Linked DNA regions of Diceros bicornis minor. The protein of the gene in region 1 purifies or fractionates together with the protein of each later gene. This does not show direct contact. Links are inferred from orthologs where the notes say so. Each region holds a gene or a part of one and is shown on either strand. Other genes may lie near its edges. The genes, in order: RAF1, DICER1, CALU and CCT8.

Evidence for each region.
Region 2: the proteins of RAF1 (region 1) and DICER1 purify together in Homo sapiens (affinity purification with mass spectrometry; 3 studies listed by BioGRID and IntAct, with this or other methods). This does not show direct contact. The link is inferred for Diceros bicornis minor from reciprocal best matches to the Homo sapiens genes RAF1 and DICER1.
Region 3: the proteins of RAF1 (region 1) and CALU purify together in Homo sapiens (affinity purification with mass spectrometry; 3 studies listed by BioGRID and IntAct, with this or other methods). This does not show direct contact. The link is inferred for Diceros bicornis minor from reciprocal best matches to the Homo sapiens genes RAF1 and CALU.
Region 4: the proteins of RAF1 (region 1) and CCT8 purify together in Homo sapiens (affinity purification with mass spectrometry; 4 studies listed by BioGRID and IntAct, with this or other methods). This does not show direct contact. The link is inferred for Diceros bicornis minor from reciprocal best matches to the Homo sapiens genes RAF1 and CCT8.

What each region holds. Positions count from the first base shown.
Region 1 is NC_080741.1:85,205,963-85,213,670, forward strand, and holds the start of RAF1 (RAF proto-oncogene serine/threonine-protein kinase), read right to left. Parts: upstream 3,012-7,708; 5' UTR 2,679-3,011; intron 1,951-2,678; 5' UTR 1,846-1,950; intron 1-1,845. UniProt on the Homo sapiens protein: Serine/threonine-protein kinase that acts as a regulatory link between the membrane-associated Ras GTPases and the MAPK/ERK cascade, and this critical regulatory link functions as a switch determining cell fate decisions including proliferation, differentiation, apoptosis, survival and oncogenic transformation.
Region 2 is NC_080763.1:40,757,336-40,764,900, forward strand, and holds the start of DICER1 (endoribonuclease Dicer), read right to left. Parts: upstream 3,001-7,565; 5' UTR 2,756-3,000; intron 1-2,755. UniProt on the Homo sapiens protein: Double-stranded RNA (dsRNA) endoribonuclease playing a central role in short dsRNA-mediated post-transcriptional gene silencing.
Region 3 is NC_080742.1:77,500,611-77,508,338, forward strand, and holds the start of CALU (calumenin), read left to right. Parts: upstream 1-4,756; 5' UTR 4,757-4,782; intron 4,783-4,905; coding exon of another isoform or gene 4,906-4,959; intron 4,960-7,728. Other genes in the region: GARIN1B (Golgi-associated RAB2 interactor protein 1B), read left to right, coding at 4,469-4,756, 4,906-4,959. UniProt on the Homo sapiens protein: Involved in regulation of vitamin K-dependent carboxylation of multiple N-terminal glutamate residues. Seems to inhibit gamma-carboxylase GGCX. Binds 7 calcium ions with a low affinity.
Region 4 is NC_080766.1:29,950,553-29,958,166, reverse strand, and holds the start of CCT8 (T-complex protein 1 subunit theta), read left to right. Parts: upstream 1-4,614; 5' UTR 4,615-4,660; coding exon 4,661-4,720; intron 4,721-7,191; coding exon 7,192-7,282; intron 7,283-7,614. UniProt on the Homo sapiens protein: Component of the chaperonin-containing T-complex (TRiC), a molecular chaperone complex that assists the folding of actin, tubulin and other proteins upon ATP hydrolysis.

The DNA.
Region 1 (7,708 bases):
CTTTATCAGATTAAAGAGCTTCTACAAGACAAATAAAACCAGAATCAAGATGAATAGACAACCCACCAGCTGGGAGAAAATATTTGCAAAACATATATCTGACAAGGGGTTAATCTCCATAATAGATAAAGAACTCACACAACTGAACAACAAAAAAACAAACAATCCAATCAAAAAATGGGCAGAGGGGGCCGGCCCCATGGCTTAGCGGTTAAGTGCTCACGCTCCGCTACTGGCGGCCAGGGTTCGCATCCCAGGCGCGCACCGACGCATCGCTTGTCCGGCCATGCTGAGGCCGTGTCCCACATACAGCAACTAAAAGGATGTGCTACTATGACATACAACTGTCTACTGGGGCTTTGGGGAGAAAAATGGAAAAAAAAAAAAAAGGGAGGAGGATTGGCAATAGATGTTAGCTCAGGGCTGGTCTTCCTCAGCAAAAAGAGGAGGATTAGCATGGATGTTAGCTCAGGGCTGATCTTCCTCACAAAAATAAATAAATAAATGGGCAGAGGAAATGAACAGACACTTCTCCAAAGAAGATATACAGATGGCCAATAGGCACATGAAAAGATGGTCAACATCACTAATCATCAGGGAAATGCAAATCAAAACCACACTAAGATATCACCTCACGCCCGTCAGAATGGCTATAATCACCAAGACAAAAAACAACAGATGTTGGAGAGGCTGTGGAGAAACAGGAACCCTCATACACAGCTGGTGGGAATGCAAACTGGTGCAGCCTCTATGGAAAACGGTATGGAGATTTCTCAAAAAATTAAAAATAGAAATACCCTATGATCCAGCTATCCCACTACTGGGAATCTATCCAACGAACCCGAAATCAACAATCCAAAGAGGCTTATGCACCCCTATGTTCCTTGCAGCATTATTCACTATAGCCAAGAAGTGGAAGCAACCCAAGTGTCCCTCAACTGATGAATGGATAAAGAAGATGTGGTATATATATACAATGGAATACTACTCAGCCATAAAAAAAGACAAAATCGTCCCATTTGCAACAACATGGATGGACCTGGAGGGTATTACATTAAGTGAAAAAGGCCAGAAAGAGAAAGACAAACACTGTATGATCTCACTCATATGTGGAATTTAAACCAACACACGGACAGAAAAACTGTATTGTGGTTACCAGGGGCAATGGGGGTAGGAGGTGGGCACAAGGGGTGAAGGGCGACATATATACGGTGATGGACAAACAAAAATGTACAGCCCAAAATTTCACAATGTTAAAAACTATTAAAACATCAATAAAAAAAATGTTCTTAACTGGGTTTAACAAAGTAAATCTTTTCAATTACTATCAGCTTCAACATCATCAAGAGAAGGGGGAAATTAATTATCAGCATGAAAAAAGAATTAGCAACATTCATTTAAAATAATCCAAATTAAATCAACTAGTTCACTATCGTCGACAAAGATTCTTCACGATCTAGTCAACTTTTCCTTTAGACCCTCATCTCTCACCACTTCCTCCCTGCACCCCGGATTATTTGCTGCTCCTCAAACTCATCCCAACTCCTGCACATCTCTATGCCTTTGTACCAGCTGTTCCCTCAGCTTAGAATGCTCTCCCCTCCTCCTCACCTGGAGAGTAATTACTCATCACTCCAAAACTCAGCACAAAAGTCCCCTCCAGTGGACAAGCTTCCTCAACTCCCCCAGGCAAAGCCAGTTCCAAGTTCCCACAACCTTATCCTTATCACAGAGCATTGTTTTCACGCCTCGGAAGAGAATGGAGAGCAGACTCCCTCCACTCAGCCCACAGAGGACAAGGCAGGCAGAAATACTCAATGAACGTGCGCTGAATTCATTCCCTACCTAGATTAAGTAATCCTCGAGAACCCAGTCACATCCCAAGGAAACACGGGAGATCCTATCATTCTTCCCACCAAAGAATGAATACCAGAGGGCACACGCAGAGCCCTGGAAAGAGAACAATGAATGAACACAACAGCTTCGCCTCTCACGATGTCCAAACTCTTCTCGGGGCATCGACCGGCTCTGCAGAGCGTCTGCAGCTGCAGAACTGAAGCGTCCTGGTGGCTCTCACTTCACACAAAAGACAGCCCTGGATCGTCATTCCAAAGCATCCCGGGGCCACTCGTCAGTAAAAGCATCCCAAACCTTTCATTAGTAACCCACAGAGGCCTGAAACCCCAGGCGAGGCCCCTATGCCTTTGTGGTGGGGCACTGTACCCATTTCCTCTTCTCGTGCCCGACTCCTCTCGTCTTTCCTAAAAGGGTGTCACTTGAGTGACGGACACCGAGAGAAGATGCAAGCCCGGGTTCCCCACTCCGCGGCCAGAAAGAAAAGGAATTAGCCCATCTGAGTGACAACACAGAAACGGGGCAGCTCCAGGGGGATTTTCGCATTGTCAAATATGAGGAACGTGCACCGGGTACAGGGGTGGCGCTGGCACGTTTCCCCGAAGCACAAGGAAATCTGAGTGGGGATGTGGGAACTCCGCTCGCCGGCCATGACACCGGGCCCCGAGCCCCCGTCCGCCCAGCGCCACCTGGGGTGACAGCGGCCTGGCCCGGGCCCGGCGCCCGGCAGCCGCGGGGCTGCTCCGTCAGCGCCGCCCGGGAACCAACCCCTCAGCCCCGCCGCCCGGCTCCCCCGGCATCCAGAGCCCGGCCCTGGCGCCTACCTGAGGGAGCCGGGCCGCCTCCGTGTCCCGTCGTCCGGCTGCGGCGTCTGGTCCGCTCCTCCTCCCCGCGGCGGGTGAGGGAGCGGGAGGCGGTCACATTCGGCGCGTCCCCAGCCCAGGGGACGGGGCCCCAGGCAGCCCTCGCATCGTTGCACTCGGGCTCCGCACCTCAGGGCACACGCCCCAAGCCCAGCCAGCTGGCCCTCTTCGGGGCCCAAGAAGAGCGGCAGGGGAGCCTCCCCGTCTCACTCTCGCTCTCCTCTTACTCCCGCCATCTAAGATGGCGGCCCAGCGCCCGCGAAGAAGAGACTCTCCAGCGGCCCAGGCAAACGAGCCCTCCACTCGGTGCTCCTCCTCCCGACCTGCGGCGCCACTGGCTCTTTGCTTCTGCGCGAGCCCGCCTGGCAACCGACTTCAAACTTGGCTCGGGCATCCATCGCTCTGGCCTGAACTCAAGCCCCGCCTCGCGTGGAAAGGCGTGGCCTCGCGAGGTTGCCGGCCGCCATTTTGGAGTTGTGGAGGCTGCAGGGCGGGTGCTGACTGGCTCCCGGACAGGCGGTGGGGAATCGAGAGAAGGTTGGCTTTTAGCCACCCGGAAGGGGCTTGAGGCCTCAAGGGGGAACGAAGGCCAGCCTGCCCGCATCAAGGCCTAGGGATAACCAGACATACGCGAGGAGGCACAGCATAGAGAACAGTGTCCAGCTTTGGCGCGTCCTCTCCGGAGTCGGACACGCTCCGCTACTTACCGGTTATGTAGGAAAGTGTCTAAACTTTACTGAGCCTCAGTTTCCTCATCTGTAAATTGGGGGTTCCTTTTCCCCCATCAGATTGGCAAAAAGTTAAAAAGACTGGTAATATCAAGTCTGGTGCTAGGTATATGAAAACCTGTTGTGTACGGTCATTCAGCGCTGGCAGGAATGGATATCGGGAGGGCAATTTGGCGTTATCTGTTGACATTTTTAATGTATATACCCTTCCGTCCAGCAATTCCACTTGTAGGCACTAATTCTAGGTAAATGTGTACACATACCCACAATAAGACGTGCTGAGGTGTTTATTGCCATATTATTTGCATTAGAGATACACTGCGAAAAATGCGGATTAAGTAGGAAACTGGGTAAATAAACGGTGCTACCTCCACAATAGAGGATATCATCTGTTAAAAAGAATGAGCTAGATCTTTGTACTGATGTTTAAACATCCAAGACATTAAATTTTTTTAAAAAGTAGAACATGTTGGGGCCGGCCCGGTGGCGCAAGCGGTTAAGTGTACGGGCTCTGCTGCGACGGCCCGGGGTTCGCCGGTTCGGATCCCGGGCGCACACTGACGTACCGCTTGTCAGGCCATGCTGTGGCGGCGTCCCATATAAAGTGGAGGAAGATGGGCACGGATGTTAGCCCAGGGCCAGTCTTCCTCAGCAAAAAAAGAGGAGGATTGGCAGATGTTAGCACAGGGCTGATCTCCTCACAAAAAAAAACAAAAAACAAAAAAGTAGAACATGTACAGTATGATTTTATTTACTTGAACACAGGCATGCAAGATTACCCAATACCGTGGGCACCATTCTTTCGTTTAAATTTTCGAGAGCCTATTATGTACCACACATTGTTCTGTGTATTGGGAAATCAATAATCATCAAAAGCCCTGCCTTCTAGTGATGAGAGACCGAAAGACAGCATAAATAATAAATTCAGGTAGTAATATGAGCAGTATAAAGAAAAATGAAGATGAAGCAAGATAAGATGACAGGGGCATGTAGACCAACATGAAGATAAATTCAGGGGAAAGACTGGAAGACATTGAATATGGAGGGACCATGAGGGGATTTTCTTTTTAATAGGAATAATAACAATAACACCTACCTCACAGGATTAAATGAGAGAAAACATGGAAAGCACTTAGCACAGAGCCTGGGAATTGAGACTTGAGTACCTGGAGCCTGACTGCGTAGGTTCAAATTCGGACTCGGTCACTTCCTCCTCTGCCACTTAGACAAGTCATTTAACACTCAGTTCCTCATCTGTAATGAAAACCGGATAGTTACCCACCTCTTAGAGTTGTAAGGATTTGGTGAGTTTAAGATGTAAAGCACTTGGAACAGTGCCTCTCATATTAAACATTATAGAAGTGTTAGCTGTAATTATTATAGCTGTCTCTTATCATATCATTACTACTTAGGGCAGAGCAGCAAAGCCACACTTGCTGACCCCCAGGCCACTCCTTCCTTCAGTCGCCCCCAGCTGGTATTTGCCCAGCACTTCACAGCTTAGAAAGCTTAAGGAGGGGCTGCCCTGTGGCTTAGCGGTTAAGTGCATGCGCTCTGCTACTGGCGGCCCGGGTTCAGATCCCGGGTGCGCACCGACGCACTGCTTGTCCCGCTGAGGCGGAGTCCCCCATACAGCAACTAGAAGGATGTGCAACTATGACATACAACTATCTACTGGGGCTTTGGGGAGAAAAAGGGAAAAAAGAAGGAGGATTGGCAGTGGATGTTAGCTCAGGCTGATCTTCCTCAGCAAAAAAAGAGGAAGATTGGCATAGATGTTAGCTCAGGGCTGATCTTCCTCACAAAAAAAAAAAAATGTTGCATAAAAAAAAAGAAAGCTTAAGGAGTCTGTGCCTTATTCAAACCTCAGCTCACCAGTACGAGTGACTAATTCATTTTTTCAAAATAATTTATTGAGGCAAAATTCACATAACATGAAATTGAGGCAAAATTCACATAACATGAAATTAACCATTTTAAAGTGATCAATTCAGTAGCATTTAGCATGTTCACAATGTTGTGGAACCACCACCTCTGGTTCCAAAACATTTCCATCACTCCAAAGTAAAATCCGTTACCCATTAAGCAGTTTCTCTGCATCCAATCCCCACCCAGCCCCTGGCAACCACCAATATGTGTTCTATCACTATGGATTTATCTCTTCTGGATATTTCGTATAAATGGAATCACGCGATATGTGACCTTTTGTGTCTGGCTTCTTTCACTTAACAAATGTTTTCAAGGTTCATCCATGTGATTGCATGTATTAGTACTTCATTCCTTGTTATGGCTGAATATATAAGTATATACCACAATTTGTTTATTCACTTGTGGATGGACATTTGGGCTGCTTCCATCTTTTGGCTATTATCCGTAGTGCTGCTATGAGCATGCAGGTACATGTACTAGTTTGAGTACCTATTTTCAGTTATTTCAGGCATATACCCAGGAGTGGAATTGCAGGAATCATCTTGTACTCCACTGGGTTGCATGTCCTGTACTTTGGAGACCTCTGGTTTGGTGGTAGGCTCTCCTACTCGTAAGAGCTAGAGTTATTAGGGAAGGTCTCAGAAGAGGAACAGGGAAAAGAAATGATCAGAAATGGCTTGAAGGGACAATGGACATGCCATGATCTCAGATCAAACAGAGGAGGGGAAGAATGGGAGGTGTCATTGGTAGAGGGAGGGGATGGGGGAGGCTAACGTGGAAACTTTCCTGGGTGTTAGAATGTGCTACTTCTTAATTTGGGAAGTGGTTACATGGGTATGTGTATGGCTATATATATACGCACACACATATATATGTAAAAATTGGTGTGTGTACTTTTCTGCACATTTGTTATATCTCAAAAAATTATTTTGAAACATGGACCATAGGTCTTTAAGCCAGGCCAAAAAAGGTACGTGTTTCAGATGAAGGAAAGAAGAACTGCACAAAAAATACCTGTCATTTATGAAGGCTCTTCATGTAATCAGGCATTTTACACAATCTCCAATACACAATCATCACGACTTGAAAGTCCTGATCTTCAAATGGGGAACCTTTAAGAGAGGGTAATTAATCTAAGGACAAAGCTGGGAAGTGGTGGAGCAGGGATCTGGACCTGTTTGTTTGTTCATTCCTTATTCAGTTGATGAAGATTTCTGTTGTGCTGAATATGTGCCAGGCCCTGTGTTAGCCCTGGGCCCGTAGCCGTGACCAAGCCCAAGTGTCTGCCCTCAAGGACTTTAAGGTCTAGCAGGGGAGACAAACAGCAAACAAGTAAACCAATACATCAACATGAAAATTAGGATTGTGGTAAATCAGTGCAGAAAAGGACTAGAGAATGATAGACTGGGAAGGGAAGGGGTGCGCCTTTAGACTCAGTAGCCAAGGCCTCTCTGAGGAGGTGATAGTTAAGCTGGGCACTGAAGGATGAGAAAGAGCCAGGAGAAGAGCATTCTAGGCAGTTGGAACAGACATTTTCTCCTTGATAGACCCAACCCCTCCTCTCTCTGCACAGAGGAGTAGGCATGGGCTCTGAAGTCAGACAAATAGGAGATCAAACCCCCGCCCTGCCCTCACCGCTGTGATTCTTGGCCTCTCCCTCAGGTGATGTAGGAGCAGGAATATTTGCCTTCAGGGGTTGTTGGGAGGAAATGAAACGGGAAAGTACAGGCCCTGGCATGCAATAGGTGCTCAGGGAGCTGCTCCTCACCCTCTCCCTCTCCAGCACCTCTCCCAGACTTACTGCTTTCTGCCCTAAAAGGGCAAGTCAGCCAGGTCTTGAAGAAGAAAATCACCAGCACATTCAAATGTCCCTTTCCCTCTTCCAGTTACCCCCCTAATTTTTTGTTCTCTTTTGGGGCCAAATTTATCCCAAAATGGTCTAGACCCAGGCTCGATTTTCTCACCCATCCCTCCACTAAGCCCCAGCAGTCTGCCTTCTGCAGCCACCGCCAGAATGCTTCTCCTTCTCACCAAAACGTCCCTCCAGGAGGGCTTCCCAAGCTTGGCCTCAGTGTCCTTTATGACATTTGGTCAAGGGCATCCCCGTCCAGTGGAAGTCCTGCCTCTGCGGTTCTCTCCTGTTTCACTGGCCTGACTCCTCCTGTCCCAGGAACCACGCCTGTTCTCCTCTCAGGCCTACCTGGCAAAGCAGCTCATGCTATTCTCTCTGCTGGAAATGCTCTTCCCTACTTTCAGTCCCAGCTCAAGGGCCACACCTGCATGGAGCCTCCTCTGGCAGCTGCGACCTGCAGTGTTCTGCCCTTTCTCTGAATT
Region 2 (7,565 bases), on another chromosome or scaffold:
TGCTACAACATGAATGAATCCTGAAGATGCTATGCTAAGTGAAACAAGCCAGTCACAAAAGGACAAATACTGTATGATTCCACTCATATGAGGTTCCAAGAGTAGTCAGATTCATAGAGACAGAAGTCAGAAGAGTGGTTACCTGGGGCTGGGAGGAGGGTGGAATGGGGAGTTAGTGTTTAATGAATAGAGCTTCAGCTGAGGAAGATGAAAAAGATCTGGAGATGGATGGTGGTGATGGTTGCAAAACAATGTGAATGTACTTAGTGCCACAAACTGTACACTTAAAAAGGGTTAGAACAGTAAATTTTGTTATGTATATTTGACCACCAAAAAAAAAATCTGACTTATTCAGATAATCAGAGGTCCCCTGAACATTTAAGGGTAGACAGTTTCACTTATTCAACAAGTATTAGCTAAGGTCTGACCTATGTGTTATGCAGGTTTTCCCCTAAAATCCACTTGGAATAGCAATGCAATACAACACAAGGACTCTGAAATCAAACCATGATTCAATCCTGGCTCTGCCACTTCTAGAACCATAACTTGGGGCAACTATCTCCGAGTCCTAGTTTCCTTGCGTGTACAATAAGGACAGTGTTGAGTTTGTCTCAGGGTCACCATGAAGATTAAATGAGAACGGATATAGAGGCACCTGAAACATCCTGGCACATAATAAGCAGGCACTTATAAACGTTATCATTCTCTCCTTTGCCACAGTGATGACCACAGGAAGCTAAGGTCACAAGTGAGAGAATGTCTATGAAAAACCTACTTTCTCAAACAAAACAAGCATCTCCTGTGTCAGACAGTGGCCGGGAATAAATATCTCAGTGCCATAAAAGTCATCCTTCCTAGAAGGCAGCACTACTCTAAAAGTACAACCCACCATGTAACACCACAACATCACCATCTAACAAGAATCATGAACCACATCAAAATAAAAGCCTTCCAAAGCCAAGACAACAAAACTCAGCAACGGCAAAACCGCCTCGTTATACAACTCACACACGGGGCCTCAGACCTAGCACAGCAGACAACTGAACCTTCAGTGATGAGATGAGAGCATAAAAAGTAAAACAAGCCCTTACTAAAATAACTGCAGGAAAAGACGGTCTTTTCTCCCCAAATTAAATTCAACTAATACATCTTTACTTAAAACAGCATTTTGATGCCATGAATTAATCCATGAACCAAAATTACCAATTTAAATGTTTACAGCGACCCTATTAAAAGCAACCTTTTAGTATTTCTAATCTATAGACAGTTTTATAAAATATGGCCTAAAATAAAGTTTCAAAACAATTATGTGTGTGTGTGTATATACAGCACATATGACACATAATATACACGTGCCACAGGTAGCTAGCTAGCTTTAAAGACACTCTGCAAAATAAAGACACTCTGCAAAATAAACAGATTATTCTAGAACCTAGCTAGTTCCAAAGATATTAGTGATACTAAAATTACAACTTACTAGCAGCCTCATTCAGAATCCTGTACCATCATCCATCCTTCAATAAATTATTGGAGCTCTTGGTTAAGATGGGTATTTTTATTTAGAAAACTTAATGTTTACACCAACACATTTTCAACTTAACCTTTTATTAAAGCATTTTTTTAAAAAATACTTTCCAAGTTTCTTAACTCCTAACTTCTGCCGTTTTCCCTTCACTGAGTGCGCTGTACTTGAAAAACAAGCGACACGAAGACAACTGAAAATCAAAACCGTCAAGATTCAGAAAATCCAAAGACAGAAGCATCTCAAAGACACAGACTTCAAAGTAACACTCTTGAATAAGATGAATGTTTTTAAACCGTGAAAGTCTAAGAACGCTTAGACTTATCTTGTGGGTCAGTAACGTGTCCCTTTAAGCACGACTTCCCCACAAAAGCACTGACCGAACACCATAGAGCCAGGAGTCCCCACTCATCTGTTTTTGCAAATCTTCAGGCTATTAAAGATGCATTAAGTGGTTTGTTAGCTCCGTGCTGCGGGCAAAGCCATCGGGGCAGCTCAGCTTTTCTAGACAATCTACAGAAATCTCACGGTCTAACTTAAAACATACACTGATTTCCTAAAGATTAAAAATCCTTAAGAAAGGCTCCTTGGGCAGGGTCCAGGCGTTTGGGTACAAAAACATCGGAGGGGAGGGGCGGAAAGATGGCCTCGGCCACCCGCCCCGTGGGACCCAGATCTGGTCACCTGCCAATAAACACGAACAATCCTCCGCGGGCGGGCCCCGAAGCTCGCGCTTTCCTGCCAGCACCGACAGCCCGGCTTCCTTCCCTCCCAGCCCTCTCCAAGGGGTCCGCGGAGGCCCAGCGGAGCGGCCCCCAGCAGGGCAGGGCCCGAGGATGCTCCAGGTGCCGCTGCGCACTCCGCACCTCTCGGTGCGCCACCCGACCCGTCAGAGCCCCGCTCTCCACGGGCTGCGGGCGAGCGGGGAGGACAGGCTCCAGTCCGCGTGCCCACCCGCTGCCCGGGCGAGCGCACGGGGTCCCTCCACAGCGCCCACCCAGAGGGCCGCCGCGGTCGGGGAGGCGCAGAGCCCGGCGGGGGCCCCGACCCCGCAGGCCGCGCCGCCCGGGACCAGGCGAGGCCGCGCATCGGCCCGCGCCGGTGTCCCCCGCGGGCCAGGCCGGAGCGCGGGCCCAGCGCGCCCATGCGGGCCTCGGCGTGGAGGCGGGCGCGGGGCCGGGCGGCGCCGCTCCCCGCCCCGACACAAAGCGGCTCCGCGGGAGCCCGCCTCACCTGCAGCACGGGGCGCCGCGGGCCTTCGAGAACCATCGGACCCCGCTCCGGCGCGCGCGTCACAGCCCAGGCCTCCCGGTGCCGCCCGGCGCCGCCGCCGCCGCCGCCATTTCCTCCCGCTCGCCGTCGCCGCGTCCCCGCTGTCAGGTTACTCCATTCACCTGGGCCTGGAGCCGCCTGCGCCGCGCCGCGACCCCTCCCGCTGGCGCCTGCGGAGACTGCGCAGCGCCCGGCTCGCCCGCAGCCCGCGCACGGCCCGCGGCAACGGCGCACCGCCGCTTGGAGAATCCCACCGGCGCCCGCGCCGCCCCGCCGCGCCCCCACGCTCCGCTCGCCCGCGCCGGCATGAGAGCGGGCCTGTGATTGGACGCGGCGCGGCGGTGAAAGGTTAACCCCGGCCCCCCAGCCACTCAGGAGCCGGGAGACAGCGGACGCGGGCGGCGGAGGCCCAGGCGGCGTTTGCGGCCCAGCGCCGGGACTGGAGCCGGCCGCCCACCGCCCGCCGCCTCTGCAGCCCCCGGGCCCCGCGCGCTGAGGCGGCGGACGCTCGCAGGCTGGCAGAACTTCCTGGCTCTCTGCATTCGCCCGCCTCCATTGTTGCCCGTCTGGCACCCACCGCCCCCTAAACGTGGCCCTGCCCCCCGGCGGTGATTGTTCTCCCGAGGGCTGCGCGCCCCTTTTGCCACTCCCCCCTTCACTTTGTCAAGACCTTCCCGCTTGCCTGCTCGTCCCCCGCGTTAGTGGTGCAGGGCCCTCCGCAATTGGGGAGACGACAAACCCCACCCCACTCCCACCCCGGAACAGGGATAACCAGAAAACGAGATGGGGACAGCGGCCCCGGTTATGTAAGTCGTTCATTTGCTGGGGTCGCAACCGTGTACCATACCTTGTAGCTGTGAATTAAAACCTGGAGGTCAATTAGGTGACTAGCTTAAAGAAAGTCCTGTTAGTTTATCCCAAAGTGTAGGCAGCTCTGCCAGAGGACTCAGTGATACACTGGTTTACTGCAGAGGAGGGATGGTACCAGCAACCATACTTCTGCTAGTAAGAGTTAGCTCTTGGCACCTACTCCCCAGACTGTCTGGGTTTGCGCGGTTCCATACAGTGGTTACTAGCCCCGTGTGCCTACTGAGCACTAAAAATATGGGTAGTGCTAATTGAGACGTGCTAGTTGGAGCTCAGATGTATGTGTTCTTTACCAAAAGAGAATGTAAAACATCTCACAAATAACTTCTTATATTGATTACATGTGGAAGTGATGTTTTTGATATATTGGGATAAATCTAGTTTCATTTTTTTTAATGTGAGTAATAGAAAAATTTTAATGTCTTAGGTGGCTAGCGTGAATTGACCAGGGTAGTGTAAGCCTGTGATCTTTATGTGGAGCCTGTGAGGTAGGTGCTGTGATTGCCCCCTGTTTTAACAGATGAAGAAAATTAATAACCTCCATCAGGTAAGCAGCTACTAAGTGAATAACTGAGATTTGAACCCGGGTAGTCTGGCTTCAGGGCTGATGTATTCAGTCACTGCGGTGATCAAATTTTAATCATATATTTACTGTAAATTGGTCAGATAGAAGTTTCACCTAAACATAGAATGTTCATGGGCAAAATTAGGAAGTAGTCAGAATGCTCTTGGCAGACCTCCGTAAAAATAATGTTTCTTGTATGTCAAGCACTGTGGGCAGTAGACCTCCCCAGTCATATGCGTAAAGGCTTTTGGGAGATAATCCTTTATGAGAAGGATGGCATCTCAAGGCGGGGGTAGGCACCACGGTCCACTAGCAGTGGAAATTTGTGGGCAGGTAAAACTTGCATCCCCTCCTGCTGTTGCCTCAGTCTGTCAAGATCAGCTGGGTTTCTCCATCAGCAGGTTTGTCTGATTTTCATCAATTTTTTTAATTTTTGAAATAAGTGGTACAACAACTCGATTAAAACATGGGCAGAGGATCTGAACAGAGATTCTCCAAAGAAGATATACAGATGGCCAACAGGCGAATGAAAAGATGTTCAACATCACTAATTATTAGGGAAATGCAAATCAAAACCACAGTGAGGTATCACCTCATGCCCATCAGAATGGCTAGAAGACAAGAAATAACAAGTGTTGGAGAGGATGTGGAAAAAAGGGAACCCTCATAGACTGCTGGTGGGAATGTAAACTGGTGCAGCCACTATGGAAAACAGCAGATTCCTCAAAAAATTAAAAATAGAGCTACAATATGATCCAGCTATTCCACTTCTAGGTATTTATCCAGTGAACACAAAAACACTAATTTGAAAAGATGTATGCACCCCTATGTTCATTGCAGCATTATTTGCAATAGCCAAGACTTGGAAACAACCTAAGTGCCCATTGACAGATGAATAGATAAAGTTGATGTGGTATACATACACAATGGAATACTATTTGGCCATAAAGAAAGATGAAATCTTGCCATTTCAAACAACATGGATGGACCTGGAGGGTATTATGCAAAGTGAAATAAGTGAGATGGAGAAAGCCAAATGCCATATGATTTCACTCATATGTGGCAGATGAAAAAACAACAGACAGACAAACATATAGATAAAGAGAATGGATTGGTGGTCACCAGAGGGGAAGGGGGGTGAGGGGAGGGCAAAAGGGGTAAAGGGGCACATTTGTATGGTGACAGATGGCAACTAGACATTTGGTGGTGAACACGATGTAGTCTATACAGAAGTCGAAATATAATGATGTACACCTGAAATTATATAATGTCATAAACGTATGTTACCTCAATAAAAAAATTAAGTAGTACATACATATGGTGTATCCATCAGAAAGCATAAAAAGGTATACAGTAAAAAGAATATCTCCCCCATACCTGTCCCCATGCCTCAAACGGTAACCATTGTTTCTTGCTCCTTCTTCTAGAGAACTTTTTTATGCATATACAAGCCAAGACGTTCCTCATTTACAAAAGTGATAGTGTGCCATACACGTATACTATACCTTGCTTTTTTTACTTAATATATCAAAAAGATATGTCTACAGCAATATATACAGAGCTCCTTGCTATTTTATTCAATCCCCATAACATTTTGTGTGTGTGTGTGTGTGAGGAAGATCAGGCCTGAGCTAACATTCCATGCCAATCCTCCTCTTTTTGCTGAGGAAGACCGGCTCTGAGCTAACATCTATTGCCAATCCTCCTCCTTTTTTTTCCCCAAAGCCCCAATAGATAGTTGTATGTCATAGTTGCACATTCTTCTAGTTGCTGTATGTGGGGCGCTGCCTCAGCATGGCTGGAGAAGCGGTGCATCGATGCGCGCCCGGGATCCGAACCCGGGCCGCCAGTAGCGGAGCGTGCACACTTAACTGCTAAGCCACGGGGCCAGCCCCCCAATCCCCATAACATTTTATTACAGAGATGTGCTATAATTTATTTAACGAATTCTCTATTGATGGAGATTTAGACTTCCAGTCTTTTGCAATAAAACACTGATCCATTTGGAAATGATTCAATATATGGGGTGAGGTATGGATCCAAATTAATTTTTTTTCTGGATGGCTACACAGTTTGCCATTTATTGGCCATTGTTGAAGAGTTCACTTCTAGGCCCTGTATTTTGTTCCAATGGTCTATCCATGCTCCAGTTGCTGGTTTGTTTTAAATCTGGAGACATAAAATCTTGTAAAGGATAACATTTCACACTTTGTATGGATCACTAGAAATCTTGGAGCTAATATTTCAGCTCATGTTAAGCAACAGTACAGTACCATGTGGTATGCATTTTCTGTGTGCTAATTTTTATTTTCCCTTTGCCATGATTATTTCTACAATTTGTTTTATTTTTTGTAGCACATTCCAGGATATAAATATACCTTGTTTAAGACTCTCTGTTTGCAAGTAACAGAAACCATCATGAAGTAGCTTAACCAAAAGGGAAGAGTTTGTCATAAGGATGTAGGAGCTTCTCACAAAAGCCAGGAGCGGGAATACAGGTACATCTTAGCAAATAACTGGAACCAAGAATTGGAAAGCTTCCGGGAACTTAAAAGTTGCTCTCTCTGTCCTTCTGTGATTCTTTTTTGTGATTCTGCTTCATCTGTGTATCTCCCTCTACTGACTGATTCTGCTTTTTCATCTACATAGGAGAATATAGCCACCCTCATGTTCAGCTAGGAAGTCAGCCCCGTGTGGAGTCAGAGCCCCAACAAGGAAGGTGGGGCGGCTGTCCTGCAAAGGTAGGTGGCCATCTACAGGGGGACTACACAAAGAAAAAACTATATGGAAGATAATGGAAGCCAGAGTTCTCACTGTTGGAGAAGGGGCTACAAATACAGAACAGGGAAAAGCAAGAAGGCTTGAGAGATTGGATTGGAATTAGAAGTATTGATGTGAATTCAAAGTTTTCAATATATATAGATATAAAAATAAATATAAACGTAGAAGTATCATATACAGGAGCCTGGAACATCTTATTGTGCCAGAAAGTATGAAAATGCTCAAAGAACGATAGAGACATTTCAAAAGGACAAAGCAGTCAGCTTGAAGGGGCTCCCACTGGCCAAATCTGGGAAATTTGAGCATCAAAATAAAATATGATAGTAAGAGATTATATTCCATTGGAATAAAATAGAATCCATGAGTCCAGACTGATGTTTTTTAAAAATGAATAAATAAATGGGGAAAAGAGACAGCTCTTCCTTAGAGTAGACTGTAACTAATAAATTTAGAAGGAATAATGGAATTAGAAAGTCACCATTTGGCAATCGTCAGACAAGAAATAGCAATATTTGCTAAATCTAGTGGGTAGAAGTTGGACAAGGAATGAGATATTTG
Region 3 (7,728 bases), on another chromosome or scaffold:
CGGGAGGTTTTTGTACCCACTACCCCACCAAACCTGACCCCCACATTGCTAAAGCCAATGGCCAACCAGTCCTTACCTCACTGTTAGCAACATGTGACATATGTGATTACTTCTTTCTTCTTGAAACACTTTCTTCACTCGGCTTCTATAACACTGCATTCTCCTGGCTTTCCTCCTCCTTCACTGGCTTTTACTCTCATTTCCTTTGCTGCTTCATTCTCATCAACACCCCTCTACCATCTTTGAACATTAGAAATTTCCAGGGCCGGCACCATGGCTCAGCGATTAAGTGCGCGCGCTCCGCTGCTGGCGGCCCGGGTTCGGATCCCAGGCGCTCACGGACACACTGCTTCTCTGGCCATGCTGAGGCCACGTCCCACATACAGCAACTGGAAGGATGTGCAGCTATGACATACAACTGTCTACTGGGGCTTTGGGGGGGAAATAAATAAATAAATAAATAAAATTTAAAAAAAAAAAAAAAAAAGGAAATTTCCAGGACTCAGTCCTTAGGTCTCTTCTAATCAAAACTCATGGCTTTCACACCACATATACACCAATTACTCCCAAATTTGTATCTCTAGTCCAGACCACTGCAAACTCCACAGATACATATCCAACTGCCTACTTAGCATCTCCATTTGAATGTCTAACAGGCATCTCAACACGTCCAAAAACAATCTCTCAATATTATCTTCCAAAACTTGCTCCCCCCAAAGTCTTCTCCATCCTAATAAATGGCAGCTCCACTTTTCTAGTTGCTCAAAATCTTGGAGTCATCCTTGACTCCTCTTGTTCTCTCCACTCCATTACCAACACACCAGGAAATCCTTTTAAACTACTTTCAAAACATATTCAGAATCTGACACTTCTCACTATTTCCACTGCTACCACCCTGGATCAGGTCATCATTATCATCACCTGGCTTGTTGTAAAGCCTCCTAAGTGGGCTCCCTGTTTCTAACGTTACCCTCTTCAGTCTAATGTGACCCTTTTAAAGGCTTAGCTCATGTCACTTCTTTGCTCAAAATCTTCCAATGGCTTCCCATCTGTATTAGGATAATGCTGGCTCTGTAAGAGATAAACCCAATGTATCAATGGCGTAAAACAACCAATAGAAGTTTATTTCTCACAGAAAGTCCGAAAAGGGTGTGCCTGTTTGGTGAGTGGCTCTTTAACAGGAAACTGGGCTCCCTGCAGGTTGTGACTTTGCCATCTGCACTACACGGCTTCTAGGGTTGCCACAGAAAGAGAAAGAGCTTGGAGAATTACACACAGCAGGTTTGTATGGCCAGTACTGGAAGTAGTGGATATCATTTCTGCCCCTCTTCCTTTGGCCAGAGCTCAGTCACATGGCCACACTGCATGGGAGCCTAGGAAATGTAGTCTAGCTGTGTTCACAGGATGAAGAGGAAACGGTTTGCTAAACAGCCAGTCTCTTCCACACCATCTCACTCATAGTAAAAGCTAAAGTCTTTACAATGGCCTAAAGGTCCTACATGGTGTCCCTCTCCCCTTTGCCCCCATCCCTGCTTCTACTTCTCTGACCTCATGTCCTCTACTCCTCAATTACTCCACTCCAGCCACACTGGCGTCCTGCTGCTCCTCAAACACTCCAAACATGCTTCAGCTCAGGGCCTTTGCCCTTGCCATTCCCTTTTCCTGGAATGTTCTTCACCACCTTCAGATGTTCACTCACACCTCACCTTCTTCATGAGCCCTCTCTGGCCACCTTTCTAAGATTGCAACATCACTCCTGATAGTCCCTACACTCCCTGTCTCCTTTCTTGCCATATTTGATTTCTTAGTACTTATCACCACCTCTCATTCTATACATTTTTCTTTTTTATCTGGTTTTATTTTGGCTACATACCAGAATATAAGCACCACCAGAGAGTGTAGTCCATTTTGTTCACTACCGTATCGCTAGTGCCTAGAACAGTATCTGGCACACAGAAAACAACATATTTGTGGAGTAAATGTTCAGTAGCACCATATGAACAGAGTTGGGATGCCTGAAGGACATTACCCTTTTGAGGTTGACATCATTATACCTGCCACAAACAGTCCTTCAGTGCTTCTCTCAGAGATAGAATCCAGGGCTAGATGGGCCTTGAGTGCAATTGAGGTGACATTTCTTATGTGTGTCACCCCCCAAGTCCTTTCCTCCTCTACCCACCTTCTAACTCTGGAGCTCCCAGGAGGTCTAATCTGCTTTTCTCTCCTCAGAAAGCTCATTTGTTCTCATGGCTCCATCAGCTGCCTCCTGGCCAATGACCCTTCTAAGTATCTCCTCCAGCCTATTGGCTCTTTCTTTTTAGATGTTCTGCCATCACCTTAGATTACTATGTCTTGAACTCAATTCACTATTTCTCTCATATTCCACTCATGTAGTCATTCTCCCAGTTTCCTATGATTAAAACTTTAAATTTTTGAGTGCTGCTCCTTCATTTCTTTCATCCAAGCAGTCAATAAATCCAGGACTTGTTTTCCACTTTTAAAAGTTCTCTTATATATAAGTGTTCATTACCATTTCCCTTTCTCTGCCTAGGCCAGGCTCTTATCCACAGGGAATCTCAGGATTGGAGGGCCCCATCCCTGGCAGAGTCCCGCTACCTCATCCAGCCTCCTTTAGGACACTTCCAAGATGGGTGGCTCTCCCAGTAGGCTACAGTTTTGTAAGGGCAGGGACCATGCCCTCTTCACTGTGGGTTCACCAGCACCTAGCATAGTGCCTGACTTCAAGGAGGTATTTTTAAAAGTTTTTTAAATACCTCCGGATACAGCCTGTTTTATAGTTAATCCTTATTAGGAGGGCCGGCCCCGTGGCTTAGTGGTTAAGTGCGCGCACTCCACTACTGGCGGCCCAGGTTCAGATCCCAGGAGCGCGCTAACGCACTGCTTCTCCGGCCATGCTAAGGCCGCGTCCCACATACAGCCACTAGAAGGATGTGCAACTATGACATACAACTATCTACTGTGGTTTTGGGGAAAAAAAATGGAGGAGGATTGGCAATAGATGTTAGCTCAGAGCCGGTCTTCCTCAGCAAAAAGAGGAGGATTAGCATGGATGTTAGCTCAGGGCTGATCTTCCTCACAAAAAAAAAAAAAAAAAGAAAGCAAAAAAAAATCCTTATTAGGAGATGCGCCTCCCTGAAAGAACCACTTTCATTCCATTCCACCTCCCACATAGGCACAAGCTTAGAAACCTTCCGAAGATGACCCACAGTTCCCACTGCCTTCAGCTCAGGCTCCTCAGATTGTTAAGACCTTCCACTACCTAGAGAAACTTATCATCTATGCTTTCCCTTCATGCCCCCCTCTCTTTTTTATCCCCCTCATCCCCTACCTGGCCTAAGAATTTACCTCCTACTCTGACCCCAACTTGCCCTTGTTCCTGTTATTCCTCTTCTGAATAGTGCATTCAGGACTTCCTTAGTCCTGCCTGAGTCACACCTCCTTAGGAAGCCCTCTCTGGCTACCAGAGAGGTCACTGTCATTCCTTTGTCTGAATTCCCAAAGCATTAGTTGTCAACTTCTGATCTTGGTGCTTAAAAGTTAACTAACTTGCTTTGTATTTAATTCTTTCATGAACATACTACTTGTCTCAACTGGATTTTAAAGTATAGAGGCTTTATGTGCTAAGAACACAGTAGGTTTATATTTCATTTGTGTTGCAAACATAGTAGCCCTCATTTAACATTTGTTTTAATTTCATGACACGAAAATAAGTGAATAATTTCCTGTGTTCCTCTTAAATCAGGGACGTGCAATGGGTTCCACCCATTCAGTTCACTTAACATTATTAAGCATTTACTTTGAGCTGGGCAGCAAGCTCAGACCTGCAGATACAGAGATGAACAAGGTAGATCTCTACCCTGGAGCTTAGTCTGCAGGAGGATAGATGGATAAGCAGTATTTTATAGCAAAATTTGGCAAAGCATACTAAAGATACAAAGTGCTATGAAGGCAAATAAGAGAGAAATTATTATGCCTAGTAGGGTGAGGAAACGCTTCTAGAGATAATATCTGAGCCAGGATTTCTGTGAACTGGGACTTCTATTCGCATTGACAAAGCAGAGATTCAGAAAACGCACTTATTCCAAGCGGAGGAGGCCACTTGATGAAGAGAGGCCATAGATGTGAAAGGGCGGGTGGTTCGGGAACACAGAGATGATGGTGGCCAGAGCGCAAGATATGTGAGGGGGAGTGGTGGGAGACGAAGCCGAAAGATACACTGGAGCCAACGAGTGAAAAGGCTCCTGTAGGCTACCCCATCAGAACAGCAGTGCTGAAGGGAAAGGAGAGGTTGGGGCGACTGATACAGTCGGATTAATTCGGCTCTGGGTGCCTGTGGGCATGAAGATAACCGGCGGGGTAATGCAAGAAGCCCTGTGGAAGCCGAGTCACGCGCTGTGAACCCGGACGTGGCGGCCAGACAGCCGCGCCCACACGCCACCCGAAGTAGGGGGCTGAGGCCCACCAAGCCCGCAGGTCCAGGGACCAGAGCAGGGCGGGAATCCGGTCCGCGCAACTCGGCGCGCTCGCGGGGACGTGGCGCTTTCCAGCCAATCCCAGCTACGCGACTGCGGGACCAATGGCTGTCCGGGGCAGCTATGCGTCAGCGGCCGGTTTGTTGACGATTGGTCGGGAGGCCGCCGGCGAGGCGGAGAGGGGCGGGGCGCGGAGCCGCTTCCGGTTGGGCGGTGCTTGTGCGCGTGAGCTGAGCCGGTGGTTGAGCGGAGGCCGCGGCACGGTAGGCTGTGAGCGCTGTGAGAAAAGGTAAGTGCGGTGGTGCGCGGCCCGTACTCCGCAGCCTCGTCCTTTTTCGCTTTCTTTTTGTCCTGAGGCCTCGCTCCTGACGCGGGATGGGCCTCCTTCTTTCGGTGCCTGTGTTTTTGCTAGCTCGGGGACCCGGGGCCTGAGCCGGCTCGCGACCCCAGGGCCCTCGGCGCGTAGCCTGGGTTGGAGGCCGCCGCTCGCCTTTCCGCTCGCTCTGAGAAGGGGCCCGGGTCTCGCGAACTCGGGCTCCCGGCTTTGCGTCCTGTGGGTGCTGTTTTGTGCCTGGCTTGCTACGTCCTCTGTCCGTGGGCCTCGCCACTCACCGAGTCCGTCCGACTAGGGGGCCACTCTTGTTTGCATCTTGAAGGTCGGAGGGCATCAGGTAGTGTTATTCTAACAGCTCCCTGCCACCTCCCACTCACCGGCCTGCTTGTGTCCTCTGGCCCCACCCCAAGGCCACATCCCCAGGGTAGGGTGCATCTGCCAAGAAAGTCGTGTTCGCTGACTTTGAGGGTGTAGAAACAAGGGGAGACAGAAAGCTTGAAGACACTCTGTGATTTTTTTTTAAAAAACTTGCTGTAATTTTAATAGCCGAGTGTTTCGAGCTTCTATGTTTGGCTGCGTACTTCAATCAGCGATGGAAAATAGTTTTGAAAGCTTTATTAGGAAGGTGTATTTTTACCTTGTTTTGTTGCTTCTAGCCCCAGACCCTCGTTCTGATTTTTGGCATGCTGTGTTCAGAAGTAAACTTAATTCCCTATAGCTGCCCTGATTAAGACTAGAGTAGTGTGGTTTGCAGTTTTGAAAGCTGCTTTTGGGTCTCCTGCTAAAACTTTAGGGCCTTTGATCTCAATTTCTAAGTGTATAAACTCCCAGAATAGTTTCTTTGAAAATTGAATTGCATTCACATCCTGGCATGGACCATGAAGTCAAGGTTAATGAATCGGGAATAAGGTTGCTTCTGATTTTTTTTTATAGCTGGGAGGTAGAGAACCGTGTAATCTCTGATAAGTTATTCTTTGCTTTGCCGTAGAATGGAACTTGACACAAGACAAATGGGTTTGAACTCATTCAGTAAATTTAGTTAACCAAGTACTAAACAATGGCCCTCACTGAAGAGTTTACGTAGTACAGTACAAATGAGGGTCTAGAGATAACCTGTAAATTGTGTTTATGTGTAGAGAGGACGAATTTGCCCAGGCCTAATCTGAGTTTTACAGTCATTCAGGGATCTGCAATAGGATTTTTTTGAGAATCAAAACCGGGAGAACCATGAGCTGGCAAAGATGAATTGAGTACGCCTGAGTGGATAGTACTCAGATACAGCTCTGAAATCAACTCATCATCCCTCTCAGTATAATCATTGTTTGCTCCCATTCGTCCAGTGATGTATCAAAAGGTTCTTATTGATGACATTTTATATATATGTTGCACCAGTATAGGAGATCAGTACATTGATATTAACACAGACTTTCTGTAACCTGGGTGTGCCAGAAATGTTGGAAGGACACAGGTATAGCCAGGGATAGCTATTAGAGATGCTTGCTAGGCCATAAGGTCCTCGATTCTCTCTATGAACTCTTAAATATAGATGTTGATGTTGTAATTTATGTATTAGAGTTAAGACAGCTGAAATAACACTTTGCCTTTTGCTGGCTGATGGCCAGATCCGGTAAGGGGAATTGGGGGTTGGGGAGCACAGACAGGCAGGAACTACATTGCTGCCAAGTGCCCTCCAACTAATCCAGTGAAATGTATTGGTATATAAAAAGTACAAGACGCTGTATTAGGGCCTGTAGAGGGATATTAATTTATATTAGCTGAGATCCCTGCCTTCCAAAAATGTAGCATCCATAGGGGAGTCGCCTATAGGAGACAACTTAAAGTAGCCTATGGTCATTATTGTGGAGTGGTACAAGTTTTATAAAAGTTTAGGGGAATGGGTACAGATCACTTCCTCCTGGAGTGGTCATAGTACATAGGTCTTTTCATCTAGGATTGTAAAATTATTTATAGACATTTGGCACTGAAGGGAGGTTGAACTAAAATAACTACCAAATTCTCAAGGACTTTATGCATGTTACACATGCACAGCAAAATTACAACTAGAAACCAAAGTTCTCGTCCCTACATGTTGCATAGCATTTCTATGGCAATTATGTATTAAAGTTTCATCAGCCAAAAGGAAACTTTTTTCTCCCAAAATTTCTAGAACTTTTTTTTTTAAAGAAAATTTTCCACTCTGTAGCCAGAAAAATTAAAGTTTGTACTGAATTGTTTTGGTTATAGAACCAGTGAAGCCTAAGGAATAGTTTGTCCTTCTCAAAGCTTTTCTTCTACAGCCAAATGTTGCACCTTTATATTCTCAGCTGTCTTAAAAATCTATGCCTTCAGTCACACAAATAATTTAATTGGAATGTATTAATGAACTAATGTAAATTTGCTCCATAATTAAAGAAACATTGAATAAATGGTTTGTCATTGTCATAACTTTTATCAAATCGTGAAGGATGACATTATTACTTTAATGTGATAATCCATTAGTGGTACTTGTGCTAAAGTTTGTAAGAGAAGAATATCAGATAGCTTTGATTTGTAGATTTTGTAACCTGGACCTTAGTATGTATAGTTAAATTGCTTTCAGGCTGTTCCCTCCAATCCACAATTGCAGTAGACCCTTAAGCAGTGAGGTCCTACTTTTGCTGCATTATAGAGGAATGCCTTTCTTTGCTGAATATCCAGCTCAGAGAACTGGAATTTTACCACCACACCCATTTCTCCCACTTGTTAACATTGAGCAATGGGTCTTTGCTCAACCAGAATAACTGTGGGATCACTCAATGCTAATGTTCTTGAAAAGTTAAATCTAATCCAGACATCTAAATTTCTCTGAAATAATTGATTTTAAGTGTTCTGTGACCAAAGGATTTTTACCAAAAATGACTG
Region 4 (7,614 bases), on another chromosome or scaffold:
AAGGAAAAATCCTCCAGCTAAACAGCCAAAAATAGAGAACAGACTTGGTCACAGCACAGGGACGGATATCAGCAAATGCAGCATCTGCCTATATGCGTTCAGCATCAATCTAGCTCCCTCTTCTGAATTCGAACATGGCCTCCACCACCCCAGTATTTGGAACACAGGCTCTCTGGACCAAGATACCATTCCAGATGCTGAGCTCACAGGAGATTCAATCATCTAGAGAGGATCCTCTTTGTCCCTAGAAAAAGTGTCAGGAATGACAACTGAAACCATCTATACCCACACAGCTTGCTGTCTACATTAGCATGACTTTGCTATTCCAGTGTCTTCATCAACATAACTTTATTCTAGGAAACACTGGCCCAGGAAGATAAAAGTTGCAAATAACTGTATTGCTCATTCCAGAAGCATCCTGAAAGATCCATCAACTGTTCAATAGAAAGCATCAAACGACAGTTTACACCTCAAGACTCTTTGAACCCATTGCCTCAAAATCCTTACCTTGCTATGCCCATCAATCGTATGTCATGATCGTTACTCAAACTTCCCAAGCTCCTACATTGAAAGACCTTCCTTAACTGGACTTCAAAAACTCATAAATATCCTAACTTTGCACACACACACACCCCCCAACTGAGATGCTACTAAGAATCTGACAAAGTAGTGCTCTCCCTGATTGCAGTAGAATAAACTCAGCTTTGTCTCATCAACATATTATCTTGGTGATATTTTAGGAAGCCAATATTCTATAGGTGTCAGGAAATAACAGAGGATAACCAAAGGGTGTGAGATCTCTTGCAACATGTGGCTGGAAAGGTGTTACTTCAGAAGAGTGGGCAGGAAGGGTAAGCATCCAAATGGTGGAATGGCAAGATAGGCCTCACTGAGAACAAGGAATCGTCACTAGAGTGAGCCCTCTGAGGATAGCCACAAGGAGAAACAGTGCCAAGGCACTGTAGGGGAACGGCTCTGCCAAGGTGCCATGGCAACTTTGCATGTTTCTACACACACCAAGCAGGCAGAGGCTTGCCCCGAGCTAATCTGAGTCTTGGCAGAATGCCTTGTGATCCTCCTGGAACACAAGAGGATAGGAGGCCTGTGAAGAGCTTCTCCCAGGCAATTTCTCTCTTACCTCCCTATGCCCCTTAGGAAGTTGTCATAGGAAGATGATGAGGCAGTTTCTCATCATCTCCAGTGTTCTGATGGGCTGTGGATCATCCTGCCCCAGCCCCCTGCAGTAGAGATGGGTAGAATATATAACTGATCAGCTACAGTCCAGAGTTAACTCCTCAGCAACTGGATACCCCACCACTTGCATTACAATCTCTTAGTTCCTCTTAGTTCAGTGTCATTCTTTTGATGTGCGGGACAATGACCTCAAGGAGCTGGGACCTTTGGCTAATCTTCCTCTCACTGTCAATGTAAGTAATAAACTGATTCTAAAAGTGGCTCCCTGTATCTTCACCAGCCAAATCAGTCAGGAGTTGGCCTTGACGTTGCCCAGTCTCACGTGTTCTTGACAGAAACTACATGAAGTTTTGGGATCAACATGGCAGTCTGAGGCCCAGTCTAACTCCCAACCTCACTCTCACCCCATAGATAAAAGGCTAGGAATGGGAGGTTTCCAGGGAAATTAAGACACAAAAATAACAATTACATTGGGAGACAGTACTTCTTTATACTCTTTTGGTTTTCCCCAATCCTCCTGGCTTCCCGCTTCACTCCTTACCCCTCCATTGGAGGGAGTTATCTGGTTTAATGGGTGACTGACACGGGGCCACCTTTCTTTCTGGACTTCAAAAATTATTATATGGAGTTAACCCTTTAAAAGTCTCTCTTCTTCTTTTCTGCTCCTCCACTCCAATTCAGTGTAAAGCAGCAATCACGGACAAGAATGTCTACACTTTCACACTAAGCCATATCCTCCAAAGTCCAGTGATACGTTGAATCCCAGCTGCCTGACTCGGATTTCACTTCGGTAATTGTTTCCAAACTCTGAGAGGGAATGGGGGTTTCCTTAAGCCCAAAGAAATTTGATTAAAACAGAAAAAAAAATTTTAATTTATAAAGGAAAATTAAGAGATTTTCACAAAAAAAAGAAATTGAAGTGAAATAATAAGCCAAGACAAAATGAGTCATAAAATCCAAAGCCAAAGGGAAAGAATTAAATTTTGATGGAAAAATAGTGAAAACTAAGATGATATAGTAACATGAAATAAATAATACAAATGCAGGGGAGGGAGAAAAGTCAGAAGAGAAAATATTTGATGGGAGTTGGTAAAATTAAATAAGAATACCAAAAAAATTAAAACACATATACAAGGCAAAAATATTAAAATAATTCTGAAGTACAGAGGTTAAAATTTTAGGCAAACAAAAGATAGAGAGAAAAATAGAAACAAAGTCACAGGAAACAAATGGTAACCTGAGTCCTTATCAGGGTCCTGAGTTGGCTTAGACATCTCCAGACCAAGAGTGTAGTTCCTCCTGAATGGGGAGCTGAGGGGGCAGACACTCCCAATCTTCGAGGCCTTAGCTCTCTCCTGGGTGCTGGAGGCCATGTTTTCAGTTGGCACCTAACATGAGGGCCCTGGGCTCTTGAATCAAAATAGCCGAAACCTACAGTCTCCTTGGGCTTCTGCAAACTCCTAGGCAACCCTTTTGATTGCTTTGTGACGTTCTCTGGTTTTACAGCACGTACATCTGGATGAGACAAATAGAGACCACACCTCGTGATTCTTTGGTCTCCTCTTCTAGATACCCATTTGGTCATCCATTCGTTCACTTGACAACTATTTATTGAGACTCTACTCCATGCCATGCCCAGTGATAGGTGCTGGCAATACAACACCTACCTACTGGTTGAGAAAGATATAAATAATTCTGTCATTACAACTGCAATAAGTGCTATGAAGGAGAAGCACAGAAGTTATGAGAATGACTAACAAGGAATGACTTGGGAGTCACTGAAGACTTTCTAAGGAAAAAGTTTATGTTGACTGAAGCAGATATAACTCAACCAAAAGGCGGTGAAAGCACACTCTAGGTAGAGAAAAGAGTAGAGGTGAAGCCCCTGATGCAGAGGCGGTAAAAGACAGGATGAACTATTCAGGCTATTGTGACCAGAAGACAGGAAGATACATGTGAGCTACCCAGGCACCAAAACCTAGGCCTTGAAGCCACATTCAGGATTATTGTTTCTTTTCTTTTCTGGGTGAGGAATATTTGACCAACTATTTGGATCCAGCGGAAATTTTGCTCTTGATGTTTTGATTCTATAATTATGAATGCACAGTTTAACCCAAATAATACAAAATTAACGAATTTTCATCTAAAAAACATTCTTCTTAGCAATTAAATCAATTTAATTTCTTGACAAATTATCATACAGAAGATTTTAATTGATTTCAATCCTTTCCTTTTCCTTTTTACTAAAATTAATGTAGGATCAATTTTTTATCACGAACTTTCCATGGAAATTTGATTCATCAATTGGTTTGTCCTCAAGTTTAATTTTCCATGGTCCTTATCAAGATTTGATTCCTTAGTTATTTTTAATTAATTAAATTTTATCAAGCGTCATTTTTAGCCCCTTTCAGTTTTATGGCACACTAAATCTGTCCCAATTTAAAGAAAATAAGTAATTTGCACTTGTCCAAGTCAAAGAACAAAAGTCAAGCCAAAACGTTCTGCTTTGGGTTTTCTGCATTTTCTGCAAGAAAAGTGGATTATTTTCATAATGTGAAATTACCCTTAAAAGTACTCTATTAGCATTCAGTCTTTTTGAAATCAGCCACGTGTTGACATGCGAAGACATATAGATCAGGTTTTAAAAGATCTGGGGAGAGTAAAAGGGATTTATATTTCCAGGAAAAAGCAGGAAAGAGGAATATACACAGTGACTAAGAACGTGCATTTTGCAGTCATTCTGATCTTGCTAGGAATCCTTGCTTTAACATTACTAGCGCTGTGATCCTGGACAAATTACCATTTGTAAACCTCAGTTTCCGCTTCTATCAAATGGAGATAATAGTAGTTAACTCGGAAGGCTGACCATTAGCTTAGGTCTTGCACGTAAAGCAAATAACACAGAGCCTGGCACATATGAGAACTCAGCATGTAGTTATCCTTACGGATTTTAAGTATTACCGTCCCGTCCCCAGCGCTTCCTACAGAGCCCCAGACAGACCAGACGCCCAGCCACAGATTTTTCCGGACGAGGGCAGACGCCCTGTCTCGGGAAAAAAGTGAACACCTGCCCCGATGTTGTGAGTGGGCTTGGAAAATAACTTGGAAATTAAATTTAGGAGGGAGGCGTGGCTTCTAGGTCAGAAATGGCAAAAACGTAACGTCGCGGCCACGGAGCCTCAACGGCTGACACTCTCGGCAACCAGCCACAATGGCCTGTGCCGCCTGCGCTTGCGTCGGCCCGATCGATCGACCTGATCGAGGATCGTCAACCCAGTCCTGGCTGCGGGAACTGCTCTTTCTCGCGAGGTTTCAGACCAGGAGGCTGAGGGAAAGGGCGGGCCCAGCTGAAGAGAGAGGCGGAGCGTGAGGCCGCGGCACGCTGCGTTCCCAGCAGGCCGTGCGTGCCCCTCGCTTCCTCCCGGATCCTCCGAGCGAGCGCGTGAGGGGCTCCTGCGTACTGGCCATGGCGCTTCACGTCCCCAAGGCCCCGGGCTTTGCCCAGATGCTCAAGGAAGGAGCGAAGGTGAGGAATGGAGGAAGGGAGGGGGAGGTGGCTGCCGCGAGAGAGCAGGGCCTACTAAAGGGCCGAGCGTGCTCCCCCGGCGCAGAGATCGGAGGAAGAGAAGGTTCCAGAAAGGGAGGTGTTCTCGGGAGGGCTCGGCCCCCGAGGCCTGCGGGCGTTTCCGTTCTTGTGCGACCCCGGGGGGAATCGAGGAGGCAGAGGCCGCGGGTGAGGGGCAAGGCCCCGGGATTCGCGTTTTGCACTGACTAGCTGGGGAAGCGTGAAGCCGCTTGTGCGTTTTCCCTCCATCCGTGAAACGGAACTGATGAGGCTCTCCTCCCTTAAAGGGTGTTGTGAGGGTGAAGGTGGATAACGGAGGTGAAATTGCTTTGGGAGCCGCGGGGCCGGTTGACACGCAGTTCGAGGATGGGGCGATCCGAGAGGAGAGGAACAAGGGCCAGGTCTTGGCAGCTTCCTTCCAAATGAGAAACAGAGGGGCTCCCTATTTAGTTCGCAGAAGTAGTGCGTTGTAGTAGGACAGACACTTACAACCCAAATGAGTTTTGGTCTCAATTTAAGGTTAAGTAGCTTGTAAGACTTACCCCCCAGGGTCTTACTTTCCTCATCTTTAAATTGAGATTGGACAAAAAGGTGGTACCTTTAAGTTGTACCTGTCCATCTGACCTGTGTAACCCATGGGTAAGTGACACCCTGGTCTAAGTAAGTAAAACTGCTTTGTTTTATGGCCAGATCTCGAACGTAATTTCAAGAGCGCGATTTTTAACAACCCCTTAAGTTTTAGGGAACCAGGTTTTTGTTGGCAGGATGCACTTTGGGATAACAGTATACTAAATAAATATCAGGGTTTAATGTAAATGTTGGTGGAACAAGTTTGCTGAAAGGGACATCGGTTGCTCACTTTTTTAAAAAGTCAGGCTGAGAACTCTTCGTAGTTTTTATTCTTCTGAGGCAGAAATAATAAATGAACAGATAAACAAGGATGATTTCAAATAATGATAAAGGAAACAAACAGTACTGTAGTAGAGAATGACAAGAAATAAGAAAGTCTGCCTCCAAAAAAAAGGTAAGGGTTTAGGGTAGATAAAACAATTAAATAAGATGTTCAGGGAAGAGTTCTTAGCTCAGTTTCTGGGTGACAGAAGGAACCAGCCAAGATTAAAGGGAGAAGTGTTCCGGGCTGAGGGACCAGTAAGTACAAAGACCCTGAAAATGGAATGAGTTTGACCTTTTTAAAGAAAACAGTGAGAAAGGTGATGGGCCTGAAGCTCACCAAGGGAGGGCAAGAATGGTAAGAAAAGAATATAGAGAAGCTGTAGGCAGTGGCCAAACATGTAGGGCCTTGTAACCCTGAGGCAGGATTTACATTTTATCCTGGGAGGGATGGTAAACTTCTGAAGAAGGGTTTGATGGGATCTAGTTGATGACCTGAGGGCTGCTCCTCAGGGGTGGGGGATGTAGGAGTGTAAGCCAGGGGATCACACTGAGTGCTCTTGTAAGAGTCCAACTCTTGTCGCTGAAGACACTGCTTCTAAAGTGGTTATTAACCTTGTTTGGATCACAGTCCCTTTAATGTATGTTATAAAAGCCGTGCCTTATACTCTAGAACAGTACTGTCTGATAGAACTTTCTGTGATGATGGAAATGTTGTGTATCTGTGCTGACCAATATGGTATCCACTAGCCACATGTAGCTACTGGGCACTTGAACTGTGGCTAGTGCAATTGAGGAACTGAATTTTTAATTTTAATTACTTGAAATTTGAATAGCCACGTGTGGCCAGTGGCTACTGTATTGGGCAAAGCAGCTCTAGAAAAACGTTCACATGAACACTAGGTTCATGAAACCTATCTAAGGCCACAAATAAATCCCAGCTCTAAAAAAAGCTCAGTGTAAAATTTGAGAATTTTAGTACTATGAGCGATTCAGCAGTTTTTCAATATGTACACGTTGGAATTGTTGCAGTTCAAAAGCCTGTATACTTTAGTCCCTAAATATTTTGGAGACAGATAGGTTAAGTGGGAATTCCCAATGAACATAGAACTGCTGGCTTTACAGTGCTCAGGCTCTAACACAATAAGAAAAATATTCATGCCACATTTCAAGTTTTAGTCAGAAAGTACTGGTAAACTCTGAAAAGGTATTTTTACCTGAAATAGCTCATATGCTTTCTCTAATCAGTCTTAGCACTCTTCCCTGCACTTTTCACTACATCAAAAAAAATTATAGGCGCTGCATTTTGATGTGTAAGTGGGTACCTGTGGTTCCTAAAAATGTCATGCTTTGTTCATTCAACTATTGAGCAAATTTATGGATCATTTATGAATACCAAGCACCATGCTTTACGTACATAACTCTTGCTTGATCGAGTCAACAATCCTGTGAGGGTAGGTACTATTATTATTACTCCCATTTTACAGATGAATAAATTCTTGTTTTCACTGTCCTGTCTAATCAGAAGTTTCCTTTTACAGCATTTTTCAGGACTAGAAGAGGCTGTGTACAGGAACATACAGGCTTGCAAGGAGCTTGCCCAGACAACTCGTACAGCATATGGACCAAATGGTAATTTATAAATTCATGTTTTAAAAGATACAGTAATAGAATTTTGTGTACTAGCTCTTTCAAACTTGTTCTGAGGGTATTATATATAAAGTGACAGTTTTAGCCATAATACAGTGTGGCTTTGAAAGTTATTTCATAGTTCAGTGACACTAGTATAGGGTTTCCAGTTTTTAATTGGCAACTCAGATCTCTTTAGAAAAATAGGAATCAAAATGTTACTTTTTATGCTGTTAAGAGGATAGAAAAATTATGGTGCTTTCATTATTGAGATAGTGCTTAATGTTCAGTGTGACAAATGGTGAACGGTTCTTTTACATAAAGTGACATTATAA